Callithrix jacchus: one gene and its partners. The protein of the gene in region 4 purifies or fractionates together with the protein of the main gene of each other region. This does not show direct contact. Links are inferred from orthologs where the notes say so. Each region holds a gene or a part of one and is shown on either strand. Other genes may lie near its edges. The genes, in order: SMARCC2, ARID1B, SMARCC1, BCL7A, DPF1, DPF2 and SMARCD2.

Region 1 (4,202 bases), about 62 Mb from region 4:
AATTCTTTAACCCCTGTGCCATTGCATCATGTGGCCTGGAAGAGGGGAGTGAAAGAAACCAATATATGCTAACACTTTACTGAATTACCTCAGCTACCACTATAGAAACCCTACAAGGTAGATTTACTAATCCCATCTAGAGATGAAGGAACCAAGACTGATGAATGTTGCCCAAGGTCACAGAGCCATGAAGTGGCAAAGCCAGGATGTAAACACAAGCCCGCGCAAATCCAAATCTCAAGACCCCCTTTCACCATACCATGAGAGACTCGGGGACTAATCTCAGGCACTCTGCACAAAGTATTACTAAGACAAAAGGAATGGTAAATTGGGGACTAGGCCAAGCCAATAATGCCCTGACCAGGGATAGGAATGGTAGAAAATAATCCAAATTTCAAAAATTACAAAATTCACAAATATTTTAAAAAATACAACTCTCCAGTTTGAAGGATTCACCACCAGCCCCCCCCCACCCTCCCCCCAACTTCAGCACTCACCGGCAGTTTAGTGAGCGGTGCATTGCTGACATGTTTGCCAAAAACTTCTTCCTGAAATTGTAGCAACTGTACAACAAGGCTAGACAGGGACTTGTTGGTGGGTGGTTCAGCTTGTATATACTAGGGATAAAGAGGGAAAGAAAAGAAAAATAGACCCCAGATGAATTGTCCACTATCTCCCATATTTCTCCCCCAGGCACTCTGGAAGCATTTGGAGCAGAGAAAATAGTGTCTTTTACTCCATTTAGTCTCTATAAAGAAAATGGCAGAAGGGAGACCCTGGACACCCCAACCAGGAAGCTGAAACACTGCTGCCAGCAGCCCAGGTTGCCAGTGTGGGGGAAGAGGGAAGCTTACTACTCATCCTCAGCTACACTCTGAAATTGGAGCTGCAGGACCCTAGTACTTTGGCACCTCATCTTCAGCCCACAGCACTGAGGGCTGTAAAATTCTGGAGGTTTACAGAGATGAGGTCATGGAAGCAATACCTCTGGGGCTCTACGAGAGACAAAAGTGTATTTCTTAGGGGAACTCTGTGTAAAGCCATGATTCCCCCTATAATGTAGCCTAACAAGAAAAGGTCAAGGAAGTCAAGGAGGGCAAGCTGACTGAGAGAGTGAGCTTGTGCATTTTGCTTCTGAAGAATGGGTATAAACGTCTTCATATGCCCTCTTAGACAGGAAGGGCCATGGGCTACTTAGCCTGATGGAGAAGAGCAAGACATCTACCCTGTCGGAGGAAACTGTATCTGAGACAAGTAACCCTGGTCCTGCTTCACTGTTTCCACATTATGCTACCTAGCAGCATCCTAGCCTTCCATTCTAATTTGAACCTGAGCCAGGAGACTTTCTTTTTACCTTTTGACCTGTTTTCTCCACCCTCATCACAAAGAAGACAGCACCTCTCAGTGAGAGGTGAAAAGATATCTGTGAAGGGAAAGGTAAATGACAAAGAGCTAAGAGCATGGAAGCTGAACCAGGTCACAGTTGTCAATCACCCCAAGGCTACAGGCTAAGCCCCTAGCCTAATCTCCCTGCAAAAGGTCAAAAGGCCTGGGAACAAGAGCCTCACAAAGGGGCAGAGACCAGCCATAGAAACAGCAGCTATTTGTCAGGATTCTGACACCCAGAGAGACCCCAAGGGCAGGACTAGTCTCATAACCAGGATCAGCAGGAAGTTCTCCTAAGCCACTAAGCACACTTCTGACTAGTTGCAAAGCCGGCAGGAAGAACCAGGGAGCTGAAAGAAAGCCACAAAGAGAACCCCTCTCTGGGAGTAGTGAGAAAGAAGAGAGGCAGACCATTTCCAGAGAAAACCAGGCCTAGAGACAAAGACGACACCAGGAAGAGGTTTAGTAGAAAAGACAGGTAAGGATTCCTGAACCCTTTGTTCACTACCTTATGATCTCCAGTTCTGGGGTTAGGGGGTGAGGAGCTAGAGACAGAAAGCTCACCCTAACCTCTGGACCCCAAACCCAGGGTATTGCAAAGCTAGGTTGCAGGGTGACTTCATTGTAAAATCGAGGAAAGGTTTCAGAAGGGGCCGCTACCCAGGAACTCCTATACCCCGGCTCCCTGAGAGATTCTGTTTCCCCTTAGATGAAGGTGGGGGATGAGCGGCGGAGACAGGTGATCCCAGGGTGGGGACCTTTTTCAGGCTGATGAGCAGCCAGCGGCTTGCTGTGTGACTGTTTACCCTCCTGCTTTCCATCCTCTCTCTCTCTGAACATATACAAAGCACTGGGGAGGCCTCAGCCCCGCTGGTACCTGGCTCCGTGGGGAGCTCTGGCGGGCATGCTCGGGTTTGCGGGGGAGCTCACTGGGCACCCGGTCCACTCCCGGCCGGCCGCCTCTCCCAGAAAAGCCAGGAGGGCGATGGCTGAGGGGGAAGGTGGGCTAATGGCATCGGGGCCCGCCGGGCAGTGGAGAAAAACAAGGGGCAGAGGGCGCAGCAGTGAGGGCGGGGGCTGGGCTCGGAGGCTGGGGGTGCGGGGAGAGGGAGGCTGGGGGAGGGGCGCGGGCGCGCGGGAGGGCGCGCGGGGGGCTGCTCCCGAGGCCGCGGGGGAGGGGCCGGGGCGGCTGGAGGGTGGGCAGGATCCTGGGGCTGCAGGGCCGCTGTCCCTTTGTCCCGCCCCCGGTCGCCAAGCGGCCCGGCCCGGCCCGCGTACCTTCTTATAGTTCTTGCCGAGCCACAGCCGCACGTTGTCGAACTGGGTCACGGTGTCCGCGGCCTCATAATACTTCACGTTGGGGCCGCCGTCCTTCTTCCGCACCGCCATCTTCTCGGGCTCGGGCCCCGCCGCCGCCCGCCCCACTCAGCTCAGCTCCCGCCTCCTCTGCCTCCTCCTCCGCCCGCCTCCCGCCGCCTCCCGCCGCCGCGGCCGCCGCCTCCCGCCGCCTGGGCCGGCCCCGGTCCGCGCTGCGCCCCCTGCCGGCAGGCCGGGCGCGGCGGCGGAGTTCCTGGTGCGGGACGACCCTGGCGGCCTCCCCGGCAGCGGCGGCGGGAGCCTCCGGGGAGGAGGACGCTTCCTGGAGGGGGCGCCATTCTCCAGAGATAGCTCTTAGCAGACGCGAAGCCCTTTTCCTCTTTTTGCTTCAGCTCGGCAGTATCACCTCGCCATCCCACCCCGGGCGGCCGCCGGTCCCCAGAGTGGCTCTCACCTTGCGCATTCCTAACCCCGCGGAGCCCCTAGTCCTCCAAAACCCAAACCCCTTTCCCCAAGAAGTTCCTTCCTTCCATCCATTCCCAGGAGCTGCCTATTTAAACTCTTCTGAGTCTCCCTCACCTCTCGCGCCTGGTCCCACCCAGCACCCCCCTCACTTGTTAACCCAAAAATTCCCTAGCCGCCACGCTGGGGCCCCAGTCCCTTCCCTCGGCTGCTTCCTCCGCAGGCCTCGCCATCGCCTCCTAAGTAGCTGTGAGCTCCTTGAGACCTCGCTCTTCGCTAGGCAGGAGGCCCTCCCTCCCTGGGCCACCCGGTTCATCCGACTCTTTTTCTTTGAGTGGCATAGATAGGAGGTAAGGAGCTAGGGGTGGGGAGTTCTATGGTGTGTGTTTCGCGGCCGGGCCCCCGCTTTCAGTTCTTGTATGCCTTTCCCGGTTGCAGTGCGGACCCCTTCTGTAAGCGCGCGATAAAGCGCGGTTTTGGAAGTCACGGTGGCCGAGTGGTTAAGGCGTTGGACTCGAAATCCAATGGGGTTTCCCCGCACAGGTTCGAATCCTGTTCGTGACGATGGCCTTTTTTTTTTTTTTTTTTTTAATTAAGACGGAGTCTTGCTCTGTTGCCCAGGCTGGAGTGCAGTGGCGTGATCTCAGCTCACTGCAACCTCTGCCTCCCGGGTTCAAGCAATTCTCCTGCCTCAGCCTCCCGAATAGCTGGGACCACAGGAATGTGCCACCAAACCTGGCTAATTTTTGTATTTTTACTAGAGACGGGGTCTCACCATTTGGCTAGGCTGTTTTTGAACTGACCTTAGGTGATCCGCCCGTCTCAGCCTCCCAAAGTGCTGTGATTACAGGTGCGAGCCACCGCGCCCGGCCTGATGGCGACTTTTTTAACCCCCTTCCTAACATGTAAAGGTAACCCTAGTTCTCGCACGTGTCTTTTGTGCACTTTTCCTTTCTGTCTCCAAAAGGGAAGCTGCCAAAAGGTCTTACCCCTGGATTTGGGAGGATGAGAGTGATCTTGGGAAGCTTAATTATGCA
Region 2 (4,120 bases), on a different chromosome or scaffold from region 4:
AGCAGCCCGTAAGCCCAATAATGGATTTCCCTGGCTACTCTAAGGAACGAACCGATGTATTTTAGAATATTGCACCTCCCCGTCGTTGTAAATTTTGGAATTATTCCTGCCAGCAAACATTCGAGCTCGAAGCCCGCACCGAGTGTGTCTGAAAAGCTCTCCCTAAGTAGGAAAAACCCGCTAGCTTGTCACAAAGCTAACCTATTTTCCCTGCCTGGACCTCGGAAGCCAGGAGGGAACGAGCTGTGGCCCAAGGTGAGAGAAAGTTCCTCGTTCTTTCCCCCGTTAAAGCACACTGTGGGCGCTCCCAGAGCCGATCAGGTGGCTCTTCGCCCCGGCCGTCCGGGCCGGGTGAGCCTGTTTGTTACAAAAGCACCCGAACGGTCCCTGCCGCCCCAAACGGCGTCCGTGCGGGTGGCGCCTCGGAATCTCGCCTCGCGTTCCCGGGCCTGGGGGAGGGGTGGGGGCGCCGGTGCGGGCCGGCGGGGTCGAAGCCACCCGGCCCGGCCCGGCGAAGCCCTCCCAGGCCTGGACAGCTCGTCGGTCCCGGGGGCGCCCCGACCGCGGTGGGAGGCGGCCGCCCGTCAAGATGGCTTTGGGCGCCGCGCCCCCGCCGCCCCCGCCACCCCCGCGGGAAGACGGGGAAAAGTACGCGGCAAAGAAAGAAACTCAGGCTCGCGGCGCGGCGAGGCCGCCGGGCGGAAGCAGGCCCGGCCGGCGCGGGGGTTACCTGGGATCTGCCCATGGTCGGTCCGGGGGTGCCGGGACTCATCGCCGGGTGACTCCTTTGTTGCGCGGCCGCCCAGGCCGGGCTGGCAGCGGCGTACTGGGCGCCCATGTCCTTGCCCAAGCCCATGCCCGCGGCCGCCTGCTGGCCGCCCGCCGCCGCCCCCGCCGCCGCCTGGGACTGGGGCTGCGACGGCGGCGGCGGCGGCGCGCTGGGGCTGCTGTACTCGGGGTAGCTGCCGCCGTAGCTCCGCATCATGGGGCTGGGCGAGGTGAGCAGCTGGTTGAGGGTCGGGGTGGCCCCCGACGGGTGCTGGTTCTGCCCGGCGAAGCGCTGGAAGCCCCCCGCCGCCGAGCCGGCGGCCGCCTTGCTGAGGCTCGCGGCCCCGCCGCCCCCGGGGCCCATCATCATGCCGCCGCCCTGCTGCCGGGGGGAGCTCAGTACCCCGTACCCCGCGGACGAGCCCCCATAGCCGCCGCCGCCGCCGCCTCCTGCTGCTGCTGCCGCCGCCGCGGCCGCCGCCGCCACAGCTCCCGCTCCTGCTCCTCCTGCTCCTGCTCCTGCTCCTCCTCCTCCTCCTCCTCCTCCGCTGCCTCCTCCTCCTCCGCCGCCGCCGCCGCCGCCGCCCGCGCCGGGCCGGCTGTAGCCCGGATAATGGTTGCACTGGCTGTTGGGGTACCCTTCGTGGGAGTTCTGCAGGGGGTCCATGCTGCCGGGGGCCCCGGCGGCGGCGGAGGCGGAGTGCATCATCCCCATCCCGGGGCTTTGTTGTCCGCCATGTTGATCAAAGCAAGGCCCAGCGCGGCCGCCGGGGCCGCCGCTCGCAGGGGCAGCGCTGCCATAGTAATTATTAAACTCCGGGACGGCCGCCGGGCCGCCGCCGCCCCCGGGCACGGCGACCGGCGGCTGCTGCGCGCCCAGGGCGCCCACGCCCGGGTGCTCGTAGCGGCCGCCCGCCGGCTCCCCCATCTTGGGCGGCGCGTCGTCCTCGTCGCCCGGCTTGCTCAGCAGCGGCGGGCCCGGGGGGTCGGCCTGGCCGCCCGCGGCACTGTCCTTGGCGCCTCCATGTTGCGGCTGCTCCATGTCGGGGCCGGGCTGAGGCGCGCCGCCGCCCGCGCCGCCCAGGCTGTTGTTGTTGGAAATGGGATGTTGCTGCTGCTGCTGCTGCTGTTGCTGCTGCTGCTGCTGCTGGAACTGGTTTAGCTGCTGCTGTAGTGCGTGGTGGTGGTGGAGGTGGTGGGCATGGTGGTGATGGTGGTGGGCATGGTGGTGGTGGTGGTGCTGCTGGTGGGGCGGCGCGGCGGGGGCTTCGCCAACGGTTTTCAGTTTGTGGTTGGGGAGCAGCCCCGTCTCCATGGCCGAGCCCGGGCCCGACGAGGAGGAAGAGGACGCCGCCGCCGCCGCGGAGGAGGAGGAGGACAGCGCGGCGGCGCTTCCACCCTCCTTGAGAGCCGCCTCGGAGCCGCCGCTCTTGGCGCTGTGGGTGCCGGCGGCGGCGGCCGCGGTGCCCGCATTATGGGCCATGTTGAGTTCGTGACGGGGGAGCAGGGGGTGGTGGTGCACACTGTTCAGGCCGCCGCCGCTGTCGCCGCCGCCCCCCGGCATGGGTCCCGGTGCCGCCGCCGCCGCCGCGCCGCGCGCCCCCGCCTCCAGGTCCCGGGCCCCGGGCGCCGGCCGCGGCCCGGGGGGCGCCCGCCGCTCGCCGCTGCCTGCCCGCGCCCGCGCCCGCGCCGCCGCCGCCGCCGCCGCCGCTGCTGCCCGCGCGGCCATGATCGCCGCGGCGTGGCGAGGCCGGGCGGGGGGTGGGGGGAGACAATAACCCCCACTTTTCAGGCCGCGGCCCCTCCTGTGCGCATCCACGCGGCCCGCCGGGAAGCCGCGACCCCCTCCCCCTCCTCAGGCCCCGCCGGAGCGCCGGGCCGGGCACGCCTTACGCTCTGGGCCTGCTCCTGCTGTGTGCTTTCATGGTGAAAGTTTTTAGTTCAGGTTTAAATGAAACTTTTCTCTTTTCCTCTCTAACCCGGATATGGGTAAATACACGACTGGCTGAGCCTATCGGGCCCAGCATGGCATGAGAAGAAGCGGGCGAGCTCCAGCAACTATTATCCACTTCGCTCGCATTACTCCCGCGCACTCGCAAAACGCGGACTGGACTCGTCCCCGGGCTGCAGTCGCCGCCGCCCGCCCGCCCCGGCTCAGCCTCGCGGGGCCCAGCCGGGCTGGGACTAAGGCTGGGGCCAGGGCCGGGGCGGCTCGGCGGCGGTCCGGAGCGCGGCGGCGTGGGGCGGCCGGAACCTGCACTTTCCCCCCGGGCCGCTGTCTCCTTGCCAACCGGGCGTTCGCGTGTTTGTTTTCACGTCTAAAAGGAACGATACAAAGGTGGAAAACGAGTCTGACGAGCAGACAAAAGAGGGAGAAGGGCCGGAGAACAAAGTTGTCTGTTGGCCTCAGAGGTTACAAGGAGCCGACGGAGAAAGAAAATATTTAGGCAATCTGTGCAAAAGCACGGTCTCTCCCAGGAGTTATGTAATTCTCAGAACGTTTGCCTCTGCCTTGATTTCGGGCCATCGGCGTAATTCCCACAACTTCTTCCAACTGCAGAATTAGTAAAGATTTGAAATGAAAGTTAGCCCCGGTCAGAGAGCCCTGTGCTTTGTACACAGCAGGTACTTAATAAATGTTTATCACTCGTTCCAAAGAGAATGTTTACATAACTCTTTCTGAAGACACCTTAAACACGTATTAGGCTTGTCAAGGAAAACTCCAAGTATTCCCAAAGGAGCATTTTTCTTATTATGTGCACTTAGATGTCCTCTCTCGAGTATGTACAGAGGTGTTTTCTGCTCCAACTTCCACAGGAAAATTTAACTCTTGGTGCCAGAACAGCGACAGCTATGGGTTAGCTTGTATCTTCATAAATCTGCATGACACCTTTCATCCTATTTCAGAGCTGCATGTACACAGTTAACCCTCTTGATATACATTCAAAGAAATGTGAAACAAAACAAAAATATTATAAACATTATATTGAATAAATGTAACCAATAATAATGTAAAACAGTCTAATCCTAAAGTAGAAACGTTCCATACTTTGTTCTCTTAAAAACTGGTGTCTATCATTTTACAATGTTTTAAACGTTTGCATTGTTACTAGTGTTTTAAATATTTGCATTGTTATTAATCATTTAGTAACATTTTGAAAAGCAAGACTTCTTAATCTTAGGCAATGGCCCACTTGTACCAGTGCGGACTCAGTTTTCACGGAGAGAAAGCATTTAAAAGCTGGCAGAAACAATATTTAAGGTTTTGTTAGGGCATAGTTTTCCAAAATTATTTCATTCTTCAGCTTTCCATAAAAACTATTTTGATTCATTTCCACTGCAGTGGTTATTT
Region 3 (3,500 bases), on a different chromosome or scaffold from region 4:
AAGAATACATATCCACCTTATGAATTTTGCCATTGATTTTTAGATACTTGGCATATCGAAATTTTATGATTGACACGTATCGCCTAAACCCCCAAGAGTACTTAACCAGCACTGCTTGTCGGAGGAACTTAACTGGAGATGTATGTGCTGTAATGAGGTAAAGCATTTGACTTTTTCTGAGACATTTCACTGTAGGAATTTACTGATGCATTGCTATCGAATGTTTGCTTGATTAAACTGGATATTTCAACTGGGTAAAACACCTAATTTTAGTTATCTCATTTAGGGGTTGATTATATTTTGTTTCTTTTTATTTCATTCAATTAAATTATTTTTATTTTATTATTTTAATTTAATGTTATCATGATGGGGTTTCACAGTGTTGCCAAGGCTGTTTTCAATCTCCTGGCCTTAAGTGATTCTCCTACCTTGACCTCCCGAAGCACTGTGATTGCAGGTGTGAGCCCTGGATTCAGGATTAGGAGTTGAATATTTAAAATACTTAATTTAGGCTGGGTGCGGTGGCTCATGCCTGTAATCCCAGCACTTTGAGAATCTGAGGCGTGTGGATCACCTGAGGACAGGAGTTCAAGCCTGGCCAACATAGTGAAACCCCGTCTCTATTAAAAGTACAGAAATTAGCTGGGTGTGGTGGCACATGACTATATCTCAGCTACTCAAGAGGCAGGAGAACCCAGGAGACAGAGATTGCAGTGTCATCCAGCCTGGGTGACAGATCGAGACTCTCTCAGAATAAATAAATATTTAATTCAGTTTTTTAGATTTTATAATTCATATTTTTAATTTTTTGTCAAATCATAAAATAAGCAGGGATGGAGTGGGTTCAGGTCGAGAGTGGATAAGCTCTGTGCCCTAGATCTGCCTAAAGACAAAAAAACAAAATGTGGATTTTTTTGGTGTGTATATTTGGTCTGTGTGTGATTTCATTTATTAAAATGGACCTAAATATGTATTTGTGCTCTCATTTCTGTGGTTGAAATGATTAGATTTTGTAATAGGTTTAGGGGGTGCTGTGTTATCAACGTTACTTGTGACTTAAGAAATTCTTCCTCAAAATCTGTCAGGTAGTTTGTGGTGTTTCATAGCCTGCTGAGAATATTTACTTCTTTTATTGTTTCTGTTTTTTAATAACATCATGATGATGATGATGATGATGATGATGATAAAGCACCTGAAGTTGATTCTGTAGATTTTAACTTTTCGAGCTTTTTTCTTTAGGGTCCATGCCTTTTTAGAGCAGTGGGGACTTGTTAATTACCAAGTTGACCCGGAAAGTAGACCCATGGCAATGGGACCGCCTCCTACTCCTCATTTTAATGTATTAGCTGATACACCCTCTGGGCTTGTGCCTCTGCATCTTCGATCACCTCAGGTAAATTAATGTCGACTTTTTCTTCAGAACTGGATAGTAACACCTGACTATTTACAGCATATCTATTTAGGAATAATTGTTATTGTATTATAATGGCTATTAATAGTGCTATTTCTTTTATGGTTGGTTGTGTGTGTGTGTTTTGGTGTACTGTAAATATTACAGTCCAAAATAATATATGCTATTTAAGTTAATGCTGTCCCACCAATCCCAAGACCCACTGCCTTACTCTATCAAATTATTAATTTACTTTTATATACATAACTTCCTTTATCCTTCTGTCATCAGATACTCATAAGTAAGCAGATGATGCAAAATGTTTTTTTTCTTCCTTCAGTCTTTGTTCTAAAAATGTGAGGCAAAGAAATCTTTATAACTTGTCCTAAGATTTATAAAGTTTATATTCATATATACATTATCAAACAGATTATGTCAAGGAAATTGTATTTAGCATTAAGTTGTATTTACAGGAACCTAAGGTATAAGAATTTTGTCCTATGGTGAAATAGAAGATAGTAATGAAAATTTTTTATCCTTTTTGGGACTTAAATGGACGCGAAAATGTGTCTTAAGTGTTGAATTTTTGTTAGAAGTATAGTGTAGAAGTGTGGGTATTTATTTTTTTGTAGGAGATCCACCAAGAGTGGTTTAAGTGCCAATATTAAACAGTTTTTTTTTTTTTGAGCTGGTGTTGTTCTCTCACCCAAGCTGGAGTGCAGTGGCGCAGTCTTGGCTAACTGCAACTACTGTCTCCCAGGTTCAAGTAGTTCTCCTGCCTCTACTTCCTGAGTAGCTGGGATTGCATTCCCTGCTAATTTTTGTATTTTTAGTAGAAACAGGGTTTACCATGTTAGTCTGGCTGGTCTGGAACTCCTGACCTCGTGATTTACCTGCCTTAGGCTCCCAAAGTGCTGAGATTACAAGCATGAGCCACCGTGTCCAGCCCCAGCAATTTTTTTTTTTTTTTGAGGCGGAGTTTCGCTCATTACCCAGGCTGGAGTGCAATGGCGCGATCTCGGCTCACTGCAACCTCCGCCTCCTGGGTTCAGGCAATTCTCCTGCCTCAGCCTCCTGAGTAGCTGGGATTACAGGCACGCGCCACGGTGCCCAGCTAATTTTTTGTATTTTTAGTAGAGACAGGGTTTCACCATGTTGGTCATGCCGGTCTGCTGACCTTGTGACCCACCTGTCTCAGCCTCCCAAAGTGCTGGGATTACAGGCATGAACCACTGCGTATGGCCCAGTTTTTGAAAAACATTTATCCTCTTGACTTTAAAGAGGTTAACTCAGCCATTTATCATTTATTTGACTCAGGTCCCTGCTGCTCAACAGATGCTAAATTTTCCTGAGAAAAGCAAGGAAAAACCAATTGATTTGCAGAACTTTGGCCTTCGTACTGACATTTACTCCAAGAAAACATTAGCAAAGGTAAGGATTTTGTTTTTAATCTAAACTCATGCAGGGTATAATCCAGCACGTCTTAGTACTTCTATGATACATCTAATGAGTTTTCTACTCAAATCTGGTGATATTTAAAAAAACACTATTAGAGAAAATCGAGGGGGGGAATGGAAAATTTGAACAGATAATTGGAATCTGTGAAAAGAATCATGAGGTCGGGGGTGGTGGTTCATGCCTGTAACTGCAGCACTTTGAGAAGCCGAGGTGGTCGGATCATGAGTTCAGGAGATAGAGACCATCCTGGCCAACACGGTGAAACCCTGTCTCTAATAAAAATACAAAAAGGAACTGGGCATGGTGCACATGCCTATAATCCCAGCTACTTGGGAGGCTGAGGCAGGAGAATAGCTTGAACCAGGGAGTCAGAGGTTTGCACCACTGCACTCCAGCCTGGTAACAGAGTGAGACTCTGTCTCAAAAAAAAAAAGAGTCATGAATATTTTAGAACTGAAAAGTATACTTGAAATTATTTGATGGGTTTAATAACAGGCTGCATATAGCAAAAGATAGGTTAGTGAACTCAGAGACAAATTAGTATATATGTGGAAACCTAGGTACCAAGAGCGAAAGAAATTGAATTGAAGTAGGGAGGGGCTAGGATAAAGAGAGGAGAGTGCAAAGATGTGATACAGTACAGGCTGGACAT
Region 4 (3,500 bases):
AGTGGGGGGATCGCTGGAGCCCAGAAGTTCCAGATTGGCCTGAGCAACATAGCAAGACCCCATCTGTACAAAAAACTACAAAAATTACCAGGGCATGGTGGTACACATCTACAGTACCAGCTACTTGGGAGGCTGAGGTAGGAGGATCACCTGAGCCCAGCAGTTTAAGGCTACAGTGAGCTGAAATTCTATCACTGCACTCCAGTCTGGGTGACAGAGTGAGATCCCATTTCAAACAAACAAAAAACAAGAAATAGGCCGGGCATGGTGGCTCATGCCTGTAACCTCAACACTTTGGGAGGCTGAGGTCGGCAGATCTTGAGGTCAGGAGATAGAGACCATCCTGGCTAATATGGTGAAACCTCGTCTCTACTAAAATACAAAAAATTAGCCAGGCATGGTGGCACATGACTGTAGTCCCAGCTACTCAGGAGGCTGAGGTAGGAGAATTGCTTGAACCCGGGAGGCAGAGGTTGCACTGAGCAGAGATCGCGCCACTGCACTCCATCCAGCCTGGGCAACAGAGCAAGACTCCATCTCAAAAAAAACAAACAAAAAAAACCGCACACAAAAAAACACCAAGAAATATCTTAATTTCCCTTTTAAAATCTACAATAAGAAAAACAACAGCGGCCACACGTTAATACAGGTCTAGTGCCCTTAGGTCTTGGTTTGGAGTGACAAGAGGGAAGGGTCTCTTCGGCTTTAGCTGGTATCTGCCCCAGGGAAAAGCAGCCCTGGTCTCATCCAAGCTGATCTTTCAAAAGAAGCTAGAAATCGATCCCATTTTAAGCTCAACTTTTAAATTGTGACATCACATTCAAATTTAAAAAATGATACTGCTGGATTCTGTATGGCCAGACCCTCACAGCATGTGCTGGATGGAGTCTGCAACTCTGCAGTGAATCCTGGGTTCCAGTGTCTGTCCTCCCTGCCGACCTCTGAGTTCTCTGGGGGCAGGAAGCAGAGTGCAGCTGTGACCGGGGCCCCAGCACCAGCCCAGAGCCTCTGTGCACAGGGGCGCGGATCAGCTCTGTAGCAGTCCCCTTTCTCCTAGAACCACACTGGCTGCTCCCAAGACACACACACCTCGAGCCCTGAGGTTGCCCCACCTGCAGGCTGGCCACATTCGCCACTCCACACTCCGTGCTCGACAGCTCCATGGGGAGCTGTCCAAGGCGCTCTAGACCTGACCTGCCCTCCCCAGATCCGCTCAGCCACTGCCTCTCTCTCCAAGTGCCCAGGGTCACCCTCACCCCCATGTATTGCCTGACACAGGCTCTCACCTCACCTTCAAAATATACCTCCATGTTAGACCATCCAGAATGTCGCTCATTTTCTTAGATGCAATAACGGTGTTTGTAATTCTATACGAATGTCTTTTATTTTTTAGGAAGGTCTCAACCTGTGACCCAGGCTGGAGTGGTGCAATCACGGCTCCCTGCAGCCTTGACCTCCCAGGCTCAGTGAATCCTCCTACTTCAGCCTGGGACTCCACCTGCGGGCCACCATGCCCGGCTCATTTTTGAATTTTTTTGTAGAGATGAGGTTTCATCTTCTTGCCTAGGGTGGTCTCAAACTCCTAGGCTCAAAAGATCCTCCTGCCTTCGCCTCCCAAAGTGCTAAGATTATAAGCATAAGCTACTGTGCCCAGCCCAGAATGTCTTTATTTTTAAAAGACGTGTACTGCCATGTTTAGGGATGAAATGCCCTGTGATCTGTAACTTACTTTCAAATGGTCCCAGAAAAAAAACAGACAAAGCAAAGAAACCCCAACAGCCAACAACCGCCAAGCTCAGCAGGTGACATCCAGGACAGGACTAGGCTGTGCTTTCAACTTGTCTGTAGACTCAAAATACACACACACACATATATTTTTGTACACAGTCACACACACATACTCTCACAATCACTCCACCATCTGTTATTTTTTTTTGAAAGAAAGTCTCACTCTGTCACCCAGGCTGGAGTGCAGTGGTACAATCACGGCTCACTGCAGCCTCCAACTCCTGGGCTTAAGGGATACTCTGCCTCAGCTTCCTGAGTAGCTGAGACCACGTACATGCCACCACGCCCAGCTCATTTCTGAAATTTTTTTGTAGAGACAGGGCCTTGCTATGCTGCCCAGGTTGGCCTCAAACTCTTGGCCTGAAGTGATACTCCTGCTTCAGCCTCCCAAAGCATTAGGATTACAGGTGTAAGCCACCATTACTGGCCAATGGTTTGATTTTTATTTATTTACTTGTTTTTGAGACAGGGTCTTATCGTCACCCAGGCTGGAGTGCAGAGGCATGATCACGGCTCACTGTAGCCTTGACCTCCTGTGCTCAAGCGATCCTCCTACCTCGGCCTCCTGAGTAGCTGGGGCCACAGGTGTGTGCCACCACACTTGGCTATTTTTTTCTTTTTTTTTTGTAGAGATGAGGTCTTGCCAGGTTGCCCAGGCTGGTCTTGAACTCCTGGGCTCAAGCAGTCCTAAAGTGCAGGAATTACAGGCATGAGCCACTGCACCTGGCCTAATGTGTGTGTGTGCGTGTGTGTGCGTGTGTGTGTGTGTGTGTGTGTGTGAGTGCCATGGCTGTTTATTCACCTGGGGGCAGGTGGGCTAAGGCCGAAAAGGGCATTAGCCTGGCCTAATTTTTTTTTTTTTTGAGACGGAGTCTTGCTCTGTTGCCCAGGCTGGAGTGCAATGACATGATCTTGGCTCACTGCAACTTCTGCCTCACAGGTTCAAGTGACGCTCCTGCCTCAGCTTCCTGAGTAGCTGGGATTACAGGCACGCACCACCACACCCAGCTAATTTTTTGTATTTTTAGTAGAGACAGGGTTTCACTGTATTCTCTAGGCTAGTCTCAAACTCCTGAGCTCAGGCAATCCACCCACCTCGGCCTCCCAAAGTGCCGGGATTACAGGCGTGAGCCACTGTGCCCGACTCTTTCTGATTTTTTTAATTGCCCCACAGGACATGGTCATTACATGGTACAGAACATGTACTCCAGGTGTCACCTCTCCTCATCGTATCTTTGCTGGAGCAGGCACATGGCAGGGCCTCCTTGAACACCTAGCCACAGACTGCCTGAAGGCAGTTACAGGGAGACCGCCAGAGCCCCGCCCTGGAGGCCACGTACCTTCAGCTCCTGGGTGCTCCTTCCCATCAGCCTGGGCCTCGTCTGCCTTGGCCTCAGTGCCATCGCTGGGCACAGCTGCGTTGGGCTCCGGAGCGGGGCTGGAGTTGCTGCTGTTCTCTTGTTTGATGGGGGAGGCATCCGCGATGGAGCTCTGGTTGCTGTTATCATCTGTCGGGGGTGGGAACAGAACCATAGGATGAAATCCCACAGCTGCCAAGGACAGGTGGGCTGGGGGGCTCTGCCTCCCTGTGCCTCAATGCCCAGAGCCCCACGGCAGCTCTCTCGGGGAGGAATCTGGTTATCCTTTTTTTTTTTTTGAGATGGATCTTGCTCTGTCACCCAGGCTGGAGTGCAGTGGCTCAATCTTGGCTC
Region 5 (3,500 bases), on a different chromosome or scaffold from region 4:
AGGGTCCTACCCTGTCACCTAGGCTGGAAGTGCAGTGGTGGTGCAGTCACAGCTCACTGCAGCCTCACACTCCTGGGCTCAAATGATTCTCCTGCCTCAGCCTCCTGAGCTGGAACTATAGGACTGTGCCACCATGCCTGGCTTTTTCTTTCTTTTTTTATTTTCTGTAGAGACAGGAGTCTCACTATGTTGTCCAGACCGGTCTAGAACTCCTGGCTCAAAACTCCTCAGCCTCCCAAAGTGCTGGGTCCACCATGCCCCGCCTGTGGAAAGCTTTATGTGACACTAAGGTGATCTGATGCCAGCTCTGCCAGCAGTGGTCATGGCCTTTTTTTTTTTTGAGACAGAGTCTAGCTCTGTCACCCAGGCTGGAGTACAATGGTGCTATCTCAGCTCACTGCAACCTCCACCTCCCCGGTTCAAGTGATTCTCCTGCCTCAGCCTCCCGAGTAGCTGGAATTACAGGCCCCCAGCTAATTTTTGTATTTGTGTAGAGACGGGGATTTCACCATATTGGCCAGGCAGGTCTCGAACTCCTGACTTTAGGTGATCCACCCACCTCAGCCTCCCAAAGTGCTGGGATTACAGGTGTGAGCCTCCCAAAGTGCTGGGATTACAGGTTACCCAGGCTGTGGAAGGCTTTAAACAACACTAAGATGCTCTGACACCAGCTCTGCCAGCAGTGGTCGTGGCTTGAAACCTCAGCTCCACCACTTCCCTTGCTGGCTGACCTGGGGCAGGGTCCTTCCCCTCTCTGAGCTCGGTTCCTTCCCTGTGAAGTGGGGACAGGAACACCTGCCTCAGAGGTGGCTCTAGGGAGGAGCCGGAGAGATGAAGAGGAACAAGTACCAGGTTTGATTTATGGACACCAGCATAATGATAACACAGGGGACTCGTGATCACAGGGAGGGCTCAGGCACAGGCTTTAGGCTGGAGGGGCAGAGGCGGATGCATAGGCGGGGCAGGCATCGGGGGCACGGCGGGGGGGGGGGGGGCCGGGCGGCACTCACGTCGTTCTCAGAGGTTCCGCACAGGCTGCAGGATTTGCATTCGATGCACTGCCAGCGGTAGGTCCTCACGGCTGCTGTCATGTTCACCGTGAATTGTAAACACGAGGGGTGTCCTAAGGGCCAAGGGGAGGGGGTGCAGTTAGGGGGTCACCACGCCCCTGGTGGGCACTGACAGCTGGGGGAAGCCATAGCTCAGCCCCTACCCATGACTCATGAGGCCGGGATGAGCCGCCAGGGTCCCCACACCTGCCCAGCAACCACGTGGCCAGCCTCAGTCCCCCGGCCACCACAGTCTCCAACCACACCCACCATGGCAACCACACTCTGCTCCCAGAATGCCATGGCAACCGCATTCCATTACCCACAGTGCTGTGGCAACCCCTTCTACCACCCACAACGCCGTGGCAACCACACTCTTAACCACCGGGCTGAGACAGCCACGTTCCATTCCCCACAGCAGAGTGGCCAGGGGTCCTGCTAACCACAGCAACGTGGCAGCCACACTCTCCCAGCCACAATGCCATGGCAACTGCCTTCCACAACAAGGTCCCCACACCTCGGTTTCATGCCATGAAAGCCCATCCCACCTGATGCCCCAGCAACCAAACTGCTACCCACAATACTGTGCAGTGCCAGGCTCTTAGTCATTCCGTGGCCCCAGCGCAGAGACACCCGAAAGGCCGCTACCTGCAGCCCTGACCCATGGTGCACGTCGCCTGCAGCCATGGCCCCGCTGCCATCTCAACCGCATTCCGGGATACCGAGTTACCATGACAACCATATTTCACTACCCATGATGCCATGACAACCACCATTCATGACCCACTGTGCTGAGAGGCAACTGCAGTCCAGCATGGGGAACCACCTTCTGTTAACCACAGTTCCACCGCAAGCCCAGCCTGCTACCAGCGCCCAGGCGGTGGCATCCGTCATTCACACCGCACAGCCTGCTACCTGCCATGCCTTGGCCACCGTCTCTTGCTACTCCTTTTGTCTCGTTTTGGTTTTTGAAACAAGGTCTCGCTGTGTCGCCCAGGCTGGAGTACAGTGGCGCCATCACAGCTCACTCTGCAGCCTCGACCTCTGGGGCTCAAGCGATCCTCCCACCTCAGCCTCCCAAGTAGCTGAGATTGATAGAGTGCAAAACTATCCCAGCTATTTTTCTTTTAATAGATGGGGTCTCACTATGTTGCCCAGGCTGGTCAGAAACTCCTGTGCTCAAGGGGCTGGGCGAGGTGGCTCACGCTTGTAATCCTAGCACTTTGGGAGGCCGAGGTGGGTAGATCACCTGAGGTCAGAAGTTTGAGACCATCCTGGCCAACATGGTGAAACCCTGTCTGTACTAAAGATACCTAAATCCCTGTTACTTGGGAGACTGAGGCAGGAGAATCACTTGAACCCAGGAGGTGGAGGTTGCAGTGAGCCGAGACTGGCCCACTGCACTCCAGCCTGGGTGACAGAGGGAGACTCCATCTCAAAAAGAAAAAAAAAAAACTCCAGGGCTCAAGCAAGTCTCCCACCTCAGCCTCCCAAGTAGCTGGGACCAATGTGGTGTGACACCATAGCCAGCTATTTTTTTCATAGATGGGATCTCACTGTGTTGCCCAGGCTGGTCTCAAACTCCTGGGCTCAAGCGAGCCTCTGGCCTCAGCCTCCTGAGTCACTGAGACTTATAGGTATGCAACAACACACCTGGCTAATTTTAAAATTTTTTGTAGAGATGGGGTATTTCTGTGTTGCTCAGGCTGGTCTCAAATACCTGGCCTCAAGTGATTCTCCCACCTCGGCCTCCCAAAGTGCTGGGATGACAGGCGTGAGCCACCACACCCAGCCTCTCACACCCTTGATGCCATACTAAGCACAGTGCCATGAGAGCCACATCCCATTATCCCCGGAGCCTCATTGATCTGACCCAGTTCCCACAATCCTCAGCATTTGAATCAGCCTCACTAACTGTGGTTATCCGCAGTATCCCCGACAAACTCCGGGTCCCCCTGGTCCTCACCACCCTGCCTCCCACCCTCCAGTTCTGCACTCCTAGATGTCCTCTGCACCCAGCCCCCAGAAACCTCAGGTGGGGACTGTCACCTGATCGCCCACAGTCTGCACAGGAGATGAGGTCCTCGGGACACCCCGTCTTCTTGGAGCCCCCCAGGCAGAAGTCACAGTAGCCGTTAGGGATGACAGTGCCGTCAGGCGCCTTCTTGGCTGCAAGACAGCAGACCAGCATTGGTGAGGGGCAGGCGGGGGCACCCAGCAAAGGTAGCTGCAGACATTAGGAGCAGAGGGAGGCATCCGTACCTGTGTGTTTCCTTTGTGCCTCAGGGACCCAGGCCAATTCTTTGTAAAACTCTGGGGTAGGGGGGACAGAGAGAGGGGCTCTCACCACAGGCAAGGCTCCACCCTGCCCCCAGCCTCAGGATGGACCTCTTGGTCCAGGTGTGGGGAGGTGGGGAGGTGGGGAGAGTGAGTAGCTTCCCTAAACTGTGG
Region 6 (3,500 bases), on a different chromosome or scaffold from region 4:
GGGTTAGGGCCTGACTTCTGTCTTTCTTCCTGCCACAGGATTGGCCTCTGGACAGCTGTATTCCTACCCTGCCCGGCGCTGGCGGAAAAAACGTCGAGCCCACCCCCCTGAGGATCCACGACTTTCCTTCCCATCTATTAAGCCAGGTAAGGCACACACTTCTTGAGCAGAGGTGTGGCCTGCTGCATGGTGAGAGCCTGCTAATCACCGTGCTATACCAGGCGCAGTGCTAGATACCGAATATACTCAAATAAATATGATGTGATTCTTTCCTTTAAGGAGCTTAGTCTAGTAGGGGAGACAGGTAAACAGGTACGTTATGGTGCCAATTGAACTAGGGTGTCTTCATTCCTGGGCATCCAGAGAACAGAAGACAGTGACTTACCTTTGGTAAGCCCCAACATGATGTGGACTCAGAGCAGTCTGCTTTCAGCCCTTCTGAGCCTTGCTTCATTCTGACCTTGCTTGCAGACACAGACCAGACCCTGAAGAAGGAGGGGCTGATCTCTCAGGATGGCAGTAGTTTAGAGGCTTTGTTGCGCACTGACCCCCTGGAGAAGCGAGGTGCCCCGGATCCCCGAGTTGATGATGACAGCCTGGGCGAGTTTCCTGTGACCAACAGTCGAGCGCGAAAGGTACAAGATTATCCCTGTGGCTCAGGGAGCTTTGATAGAAATCAGCTTCCTCTTCACTGGGGGCCACCCAGTTTCTAGAACTGAAACAGAAGCTGGGGTCCAGGAAGCAGGCCCCTGCAGTTCTGTTCTTACTTTAAACCCTGATTATTGTCAGATACTGACTGACCTCTCCATTGCCATTTAGATTTTTCTGCTCCTTCTAAGTATAGACTCTCACTCATTCATCTACTTTTATCACAGAAGGTTATTATACATATAATTTTCATTTAAAAAATTAAAATAGGCCAGGTGCAGTGGCTCATGCCTGTAATCCCAGCACTTTGGGAGGCCAACGCAGGAGGATTACTTGAGCCCAGGAGTTCAAGACCAGCCTGGGCAACAAAATGAGACCCCATCTCTACAAAAAAAAATTTTTTTAAATTAACCGGGCATAGCGGCATACGCCTGTTTTCCCAGCTGCTAGGGAAGCTGAGGTGGGAGAATCGCTTGAGCCTGGGAGTTCGAGGCTGCAGTGAGCTGTGATCTTGCCACAGCACACCAGCCTGGACAACAAAAAAATTAAAACCAGGAGGTGCAATAGCGGTCAGTGAAATCCCATATACTCTTTTTTTTTTTTTAAACAGTTTCACCTTTGTTGCCCAGGCTGGAGTGCAATGGTGCAGTCTTGGCTCACTGCAACCTCCACCTCCTGGCTCCTCCTGCCTCTGCCTCCCGACTAGCTGGGATTACAGGCATGCACCACCACACCCGGCTAATTTTATATTTTTAGTAGAGATGGGGTTTCTCCATGTTGGTCAGGCTGGTCTCCAACTCCTGACCTCAGGTGATCGCCTCCCAGAGTGCTGGGATTGTAGGCATGAGCCACTGTGCCCAGCTGAAATCCCATGTACTCCTAACCTAGATTTATCAGTTTAACATTTCGCCACATTTGCCTTATCTAACTTTGCTAAACCGTTTGAGAGGAAGATGCATATATCAAAAACTTTCAGTGTAGGCAACATAGCAAGACCTTGTCTCTGGGCATGGTGGTACACACCTGCAGTCCCAGCTACTCGGGAGGCCAAGGTGGGAGGATTGCTTGAGCCAGTAGATTGAGGCTGCAGCTCTGATCATGCTACTTCACTCCAGCCTGGGTAACAGGGAGGCCCTGTCTGGGGGAGCGTCAGGAACAAACTTGTATCCCTGAATACTTGACACTTCTTTTTTTTTGAGACAGAGTCTTATTCTGTCACCAGGATGGAGTGCAGTGGTGCGATCTCAGCTCACTGCATCTCCATCTCCTGGGTTCAAGCGATTCGCCTGCCTCAGCCTCCCAAGTAGCTGGGACTGTAGGCATTCACCACCACACCTGGCTAATCTTTTGTATTTTAGTAAAGATGGAGTTTCACCAGGTTGGCCAGGACGGTCTCGATCTCCTGACCGCGTAATCCTCCTGACCTCTTGGTCCGCCTGCCTCACCCTCCCCAAGTGCTGGGATTATAGGCATGAGCCACCACGCCGGCCCCTACTTTACTCTTCTGTCACAAAAGTTTGTGTCACAAAGTTTTTTGGTCTCTGAGGTTACACAGCAAAGCAGACTTGGTCTCTGCCAACAGAGAAGATAAGACTATAAGAGCTATAAATATGCTACTACTGGGCTAAATGCTTATTCATGCCCTTTTTCCTTTAGTCTGTACAACCTTACGGAGTAGGTCCTGTGTTCCCCATTTCACAGATAGGCTGAAAACAAAGCAGTTTAAAAACTTCCCACAAGGTCACACAAATAAGCAACAGCACTTTCATTTAAACTAGGAAGTGAGTGTCAGAACAGAACCACCAATATTGTGCTCCCTGAGTGGCCAGTCAGAGGCAGGAGAAGGCGTGGCTACTTAGGGTATCAGGACAAACTTTATGGAAGCGGGCTATTTGATTTGGCCATGTGGCATGGTGGGGAAAGCATTTCATGCTAAGGAAACAAGGTGAAGCACAGGGGAAGGAAATCCCAAAGTATGGAAGGGAACGGGAGGAGAACTATGGGATGCCTATAGGGCAGTGGTGAGGAATGAGGCTGGTATAGGTGGGACCAGGTCATGGGAGGTTCTGGGCGGCCTTGGCCAGTCTCATCATAGGGGAGCTTTGGATGCACGTATTTCTACCCATGCTAACCCTCCTGTCCACTCAGCGGATCCTAGAACCAGATGACTTCCTGGATGACCTCGATGATGAAGACTATGAAGAAGATACTCCCAAGCGTCGGGGAAAGGGGAAATCCAAGGTGAGGGGCCAGCATGTTGCCTGCATCTCGGGAAGGGGTGGCCTGGGGAATTCCTCATTTTATTTCAAGTGAGATTAGCAGCCACTTCCAGAAGAGTCTTAACTCCTTAGGCCCAGCTGCCGCAGTAAGGATGTCTCTTTGCTCTTCTTGGCAGAGTAAGGGTGTGGGCAGTGCCCGTAAGAAGCTGGATGCTTCCATCCTGGAGGATCGGGATAAGCCCTATGCCTGTGACAGTGAGTGCCTCACAAGTGGGTGGGGTAAACCTTGCCTTGGCCCTAGCTCCTACTCAGGATATGAGAGGAGGGAGGGTTGTGTTTTTGCCCAGAGTATTAAAACAAACCTGGGTTCCTGTCCTGCCTGCTGACTGGTTCCTTCTGAGACCCCTGGGAGGCCTGGGTCCCTGCTATATGATGGGTGGAACCTGCATGCTCTGGGAAAGATTTCTGCCATCCTCTGGGGTGGGGTTGCTTGTGGGGGCCACAGCAGGCAGGGTTGGCCTCTCAGCAGATGCCCTGCAGGTCTCCTGGCCTCAGTTAAGCCAGGGCCCCAGGGGTCTGACACTGAGTTTTTCAAAGTCTGTTCTCTTTTTCTTTCTCTCTGGCTTGCCCCAC
Region 7 (4,288 bases), on a different chromosome or scaffold from region 4:
CCTGTTAGAAATGCAGAGTCCTGGGCCCTACCCCAGACCTCAAGAATCATAATCTGCATGTTTACTAAGAGCCTCAGGTGTTTTTTATGTGCTCATTAAAGTTTAAGCAGCACTGGTCTGTATCACAGCAAGGAGAACCAGACCATCAGACGGTAGGCTCCCTGGCACAGCTGAAGCATTTTCAAATACTTTGATACAGGACAGTGTATCTGAAGATACTGCATTTTTGAAAATTAAGTGCTATAAATACTGGAGAAAGACCTCTTTTTTTTAAAAACTGCGGGGAGATTTCTCATAAGCCAAATTTCTTTTGACTAGAAGCATTTTCTGGGGAGTAAAGTACCAGGCTTCTTTAAAGTGAGGCAGAGCAACGTTAAAAATGTGCGATAAGAACTCAGTCTTGGCCAAGTCGACCGTTCACCAGCTGGGTCAAGTCTGGAGTCGCCTAGGTCCCTTGGCAGTTCTGAGCCACCAGGATGAGGGTTTACAGGAAGTCGAATTGGCTGCTGTTCTGCTCCAGAGAGCAGCTGAGTCTTTTTTGTTTTTAGACAGAATTTTGCTCTTGTCGCCCAGGCTGGGGTGTGCAATGGCGCGATCTCGGCTCACCGCAACCTCCACCTCCCGGGTTCAAGCGATTCTCCTGCTTCAGCTCCCAAGTACCTGGGATTATAGGTGCCCGCCACCACGCGCGGCTAATTTTGTATTTTTAGTAGAGACAGGGTTTTTCCATGTTTGTCAGGCTGGTCTCGAACTTCTGACCTCAGGTGATCCGCCGCCTCAGCCTTCTAAAGTGCTGGGATTACAGGCGCGAGCCCGCGCTCCCGGCTCTCAGATGGGTCTTTAACGCGGAAGATGCAGAAAGGAAACTTGACAAAACTATTTTGTGAGTGTGGCCGGGGAATTCGGTGAGGGTGCTACACGGAAAAAGTAGTACCAACCGCTCATTCACTGTGAAGCCCGTAAGTGACCTTAGACCTCTAACCCCGCGCCTCACTCCGCCCTTCCGTGCGCAGCTTCCGCTCCCGCCCCTCCGGCAAAGGGCTGGCCAAGGGGTGTGGGCGGGGCTCTGAGGTCGGCGGTTAGGGGCGGTGCCCGCTGGGGGAGGGTCTCGCGAGGGGCGGGATTCGAGGAGACACTCGAGCATTGGGCACCAGGTAGAGGCGGGGTCTAGGGCTGGGCTGAGTTGGGCGGGGCAGGGAGTTCGTAGCCGCCTCTGGGTAACTTGACTCGGGCAGCCAAACCTCCAGAGGCCGGGGACGGCAGGCGGGCCCGCAGCGGATCCTGGATCCGGAATCTCCCGGGCAGGAGCGGAATCTGTCCCGAACCAGGTCTGTGAGGAACTCGCAAACTTGGATTAGGAAATCCTGGAGCCCGGATCGACAAACCCCGGCACCCGGAATTAAGATCGCCAAGTCCCGGATCACGGAGCACAGAGCGCGGAGCGGACTCTACGCGGAGCCCGGATTCCGGATCGCGGCACCGCGGGACGGGACGGAGCGATGTCGGGCCGAGGCGCGGGCGGGTTCCCGCTGCCCCCGCTGAGCCCTGGCGGCGGCGCGGTGGCCGCGGCCCTGGGAGCGCCGCCGCCTTCTGCGGGACCCGGCATGCTGCCCGGACCGGTGCTTCGGGGACCAGGGCCAGCTGGAGGCGTGGGGGGCCCCGGGGCCGCCGCCTTCCGCCCCATGGGCCCCGCGGGCCCCGCGGCGCAGTACCAGGTGAGCAGAGAGGACGCGAGCCGACGGGGGCGTGCAGCGCCGTGAGGGCGCCTGGGCGGGGGGCTGAGGGGGGCTCGAGTGAGGGCCCTGGGGAGTGCCTGAGGAACTGTGGAGGGCGGGTAGGGACCCTCAGGGTGCGGCGAGTGGCGGTGGAGGAGTGGGGAAAAGGAAGCGTGTTCCGTAGCGGAGGGCTGGAAGCAGCTGGAAGGCCTGGGGGCTTCCTCGCACAGGGATTCCGAGTGACTGGGAGATGGAGGAGTTTGGGGAGCCAGAGAATTGTGGGCAGGTGGGTTGGGAAGTTTAGGATAGGAGGGCTGGGAAGTGATGAGAAAGTTTGGGAAAGGGCCCTCGCTGAGAAACCGTGGTTACCCTGCATCGGCCTTGGTCCCACTCCAGGTCTGCCCTGTTTTTTCTGGTTAGGAACTGGCCGAGCTGAGCTCTAGCGTGTCTGAGATAGTTCCCGGCTGCTAATGAAGAGGAAGGAGCCTGGCGTCCCACAGGCACGGGACGCGGAGGCTAGGGCCAGGGATTCCAGCTTGGGCACCGGCGGACTTTACTCCTGAGGCAGGGCCTTCGCTGGCGAGGACTCCAGCTTAAACCAGAGACGGTGGTGGCCAGGCCTGAAGGGAGGCCCAGCCCAGTCACAGGCCGCCTCTCTTCTGGCCTTTCTGCCTGCTGTCATAGTGTCCAAGAGTTGATTAGTCTGGACGTGCAGAGTGGAGCCCTGCTGGTCTGGGGCGGGAGGAGTCTGCGAGAGTTGCTTCAAAGAGTGTCGTCCTGACCCCTTTGGGGTTTGAGAGCTGCTTAGGTTGCAGCTTCAAAAGCCCTTGCAAGGCAGCGACTTCTGCTCAGTGTGTGAGGACCTCAGCCTGACCCTGCCGGTCCCCAAGTCTGCTGTTCAGGTTGCCCCAGAAGGCTTAGAAACTGCCCATCTGCCTTCCCACCAGCTCTGCACTTCTATTTGGCATTCAGGTTCTAACTCGGCCACATCCCAACCCATGTGCCCCAGCATTTGACGCTGGTGTCTTCCTCATCTCCCCGGGTCTGTCGTGAGGCTTCTCTGTTTTTGACTCAGGTCTCCAGGTGGAGGTCCTTAGGGATCCTCGTGGAGTATACACAGCCCACCTGCCCCCTGAGCCTCATTTCTAAGGAGATACTTAATTAGGGACACTGACTGGATTTCTTTTTCCCCCTTACTAATTCTTCCTCCTTAAGAGAAAACAAAGGGTCTGGGTATGGGCAGAGACAGACCTGGTCCCAGAGACTCCAGCTGAGGCCCACCTTGCTCTCCGCCTGGGGATTCATGGGCCCAGGGTGTTGCTGAGGGCTCCATGCATCAGTTATTGGCACCCTCAGACCTGCTCTCTGACACCTGGCCTGGGCACCACCTGTGGGCCTTCGGCCTTGGACAGACCTGGAACAGACAAGCGGCTCCAGTTTCCTTGGCATGTAAGCCATAGGAAATGTGCCCTTCGGAAAGCCCCTGAGAGGATGGATTCCACAGTGTTTGGTGGGGGTGGCCTTGGGCCTGTAGCAAGGCCAAGCTGGCTGGCTGGTTAGGCCTGGTCTGCTAGCTGGGGGGATGTTGGAGATGGCCCTGAATCTGAGTTTCCCATCCCACTAGCTTTCCTCTTCCTCCTGGAAGGAGAGGTAGATGGGAAGGAGAACCCAGGCAGCTAACTGTGGCTGAGTTTGAAGAGGATCCTACTTGCCCTCTTTTCAAGTCCAGTTGTATGACTTCTGGGAGAAGGGACTTTAGATCTGGGGAACAAAGGGATTCCTATCTGTTAGGGCTCGTGAGATGTGCTGGAAACTCTATTTGAGGCCCAAGCTGAGCAAACAGGGGAGCCTGTTGAAAGAAGGGAAGCAATGACCTCCCTCCCTCCAGAGGGTGGCCCTAGCTGTGGATCACAGGTAACAGGAGCCTAAAAAAGAAAAAACCCTCCAGGGCTGGGTGTGGTGGCTCACACCTGTAATCCCAGCACTTTGGGGGAGGGTGGGGGCCAGACAGAAGGATTGCTTGAGACCAGGTGTTCAAGACCAGCCTAGGCAACATAGGCTGTCACCTCTTAAAAAAAATTTAGCCAAGTGTGGTGGTATGCACTTATGGTCCCAGGTACTCAGGATGCGGTAACAAGAGGATTGCTTGAGTCCAAGAGTTCAAGGCTGCATTGAGCTGTGATCCTGCCACTGCACTCCAGCCTGGGCAACAAAATAACAAAAACCACAGATTGTTGGGTTCACTCCAGAGAGTTCAAAAAGTTCAAGATACTTTTTACTCACGGGAGGGTGGCAGTAGTTTCTCCAACCGAGGCCCTCAGGCCCAGTCTCCAGGAGCATCAGGGCCACATTTTGGGCAGGTCAAAGCATACTTGCCTGAGCCCTGGATGCCTCACCTCGCGGCCACAGCATCAGACCCAGCCTCCTGCCCTGCTGCCCTTGGTGGTGGTGGTAGACTTAAGCTTAGAATATGGGCTGGTGCCAGGCCAAGGAAGAGGAGGGCGTTGCATCCTTCTGGGGTTCAGGGGATTGAGCCAGGGCTACCTGGTCCTGCTGCAGGCAGGGAGTTTGGG

Evidence for each region.
Region 1: the proteins of BCL7A (region 4) and SMARCC2 purify together in Homo sapiens (affinity purification with mass spectrometry; 4 studies listed by BioGRID and IntAct, counting the BioPlex papers as one, with this or other methods). This does not show direct contact. The link is inferred for Callithrix jacchus from reciprocal best matches to the Homo sapiens genes BCL7A and SMARCC2.
Region 2: the proteins of BCL7A (region 4) and ARID1B purify together in Homo sapiens (affinity purification with mass spectrometry; 4 studies listed by BioGRID and IntAct, counting the BioPlex papers as one, with this or other methods). This does not show direct contact. The link is inferred for Callithrix jacchus from reciprocal best matches to the Homo sapiens genes BCL7A and ARID1B.
Region 3: the proteins of BCL7A (region 4) and SMARCC1 purify together in Homo sapiens (affinity purification with mass spectrometry; 4 studies listed by BioGRID and IntAct, counting the BioPlex papers as one, with this or other methods). This does not show direct contact. The link is inferred for Callithrix jacchus from reciprocal best matches to the Homo sapiens genes BCL7A and SMARCC1.
Region 5: the proteins of BCL7A (region 4) and DPF1 purify together in Homo sapiens (affinity purification with mass spectrometry; 3 studies listed by BioGRID and IntAct, counting the BioPlex papers as one, with this or other methods). This does not show direct contact. The link is inferred for Callithrix jacchus from reciprocal best matches to the Homo sapiens genes BCL7A and DPF1.
Region 6: the proteins of BCL7A (region 4) and DPF2 purify together in Homo sapiens (affinity purification with mass spectrometry; 3 studies listed by BioGRID and IntAct, counting the BioPlex papers as one, with this or other methods). This does not show direct contact. The link is inferred for Callithrix jacchus from reciprocal best matches to the Homo sapiens genes BCL7A and DPF2.
Region 7: the proteins of BCL7A (region 4) and SMARCD2 purify together in Homo sapiens (affinity purification with mass spectrometry; 5 studies listed by BioGRID and IntAct, counting the BioPlex papers as one, with this or other methods). This does not show direct contact. The link is inferred for Callithrix jacchus from reciprocal best matches to the Homo sapiens genes BCL7A and SMARCD2.

What each region holds. Positions count from the first base shown.
Region 1 is NC_133510.1:63,473,953-63,478,154, reverse strand, and holds the start of SMARCC2 (SWI/SNF complex subunit SMARCC2), read right to left. Parts: upstream 2,801-4,202; 5' UTR 2,776-2,800; coding exon 2,665-2,775; intron 618-2,664; coding exon 498-617; intron 1-497. UniProt on the Homo sapiens protein: Involved in transcriptional activation and repression of select genes by chromatin remodeling (alteration of DNA-nucleosome topology).
Region 2 is NC_133505.1:163,604,918-163,609,037, reverse strand, and holds the start of ARID1B (AT-rich interactive domain-containing protein 1B), read right to left. Parts: upstream 2,801-4,120; 5' UTR 2,498-2,800; coding exon 731-2,497; intron 1-730. UniProt on the Homo sapiens protein: Involved in transcriptional activation and repression of select genes by chromatin remodeling (alteration of DNA-nucleosome topology).
Region 3 is NC_133516.1:30,366,093-30,369,592, reverse strand, and holds part of SMARCC1 (SWI/SNF complex subunit SMARCC1), read left to right. Parts: intron 1-43; coding exon 44-157; intron 158-1,239; coding exon 1,240-1,393; intron 1,394-2,707; coding exon 2,708-2,821; intron 2,822-3,500. UniProt on the Homo sapiens protein: Involved in transcriptional activation and repression of select genes by chromatin remodeling (alteration of DNA-nucleosome topology).
Region 4 is NC_133510.1:125,249,561-125,253,060, reverse strand, and holds part of BCL7A (B-cell CLL/lymphoma 7 protein family member A), read right to left. Parts: intron 3,297-3,500; coding exon 3,129-3,296; intron 1-3,128.
Region 5 is NC_133523.1:33,800,902-33,804,401, forward strand, and holds part of DPF1 (zinc finger protein neuro-d4), read right to left. Parts: intron 3,363-3,500; coding exon 3,312-3,362; intron 3,219-3,311; coding exon 3,099-3,218; intron 1,124-3,098; coding exon 1,011-1,123; intron 1-1,010. UniProt on the Homo sapiens protein: May have an important role in developing neurons by participating in regulation of cell survival, possibly as a neurospecific transcription factor. Belongs to the neuron-specific chromatin remodeling complex (nBAF complex).
Region 6 is NC_133511.1:122,425,075-122,428,574, forward strand, and holds part of DPF2 (zinc finger protein ubi-d4), read left to right. Parts: intron 1-38; coding exon 39-146; intron 147-471; coding exon 472-635; intron 636-2,796; coding exon 2,797-2,889; intron 2,890-3,043; coding exon 3,044-3,122; intron 3,123-3,500. UniProt on the Homo sapiens protein: Plays an active role in transcriptional regulation by binding modified histones H3 and H4. Is a negative regulator of myeloid differentiation of hematopoietic progenitor cells. Might also have a role in the development and maturation of lymphoid cells.
Region 7 is NC_133506.1:89,120,517-89,124,804, reverse strand, and holds the start of SMARCD2 (SWI/SNF-related matrix-associated actin-dependent regulator of chromatin subfamily D member 2), read left to right. Parts: upstream 1-1,488; 5' UTR 1,489-1,499; coding exon 1,500-1,715; intron 1,716-4,288. UniProt on the Homo sapiens protein: Involved in transcriptional activation and repression of select genes by chromatin remodeling (alteration of DNA-nucleosome topology).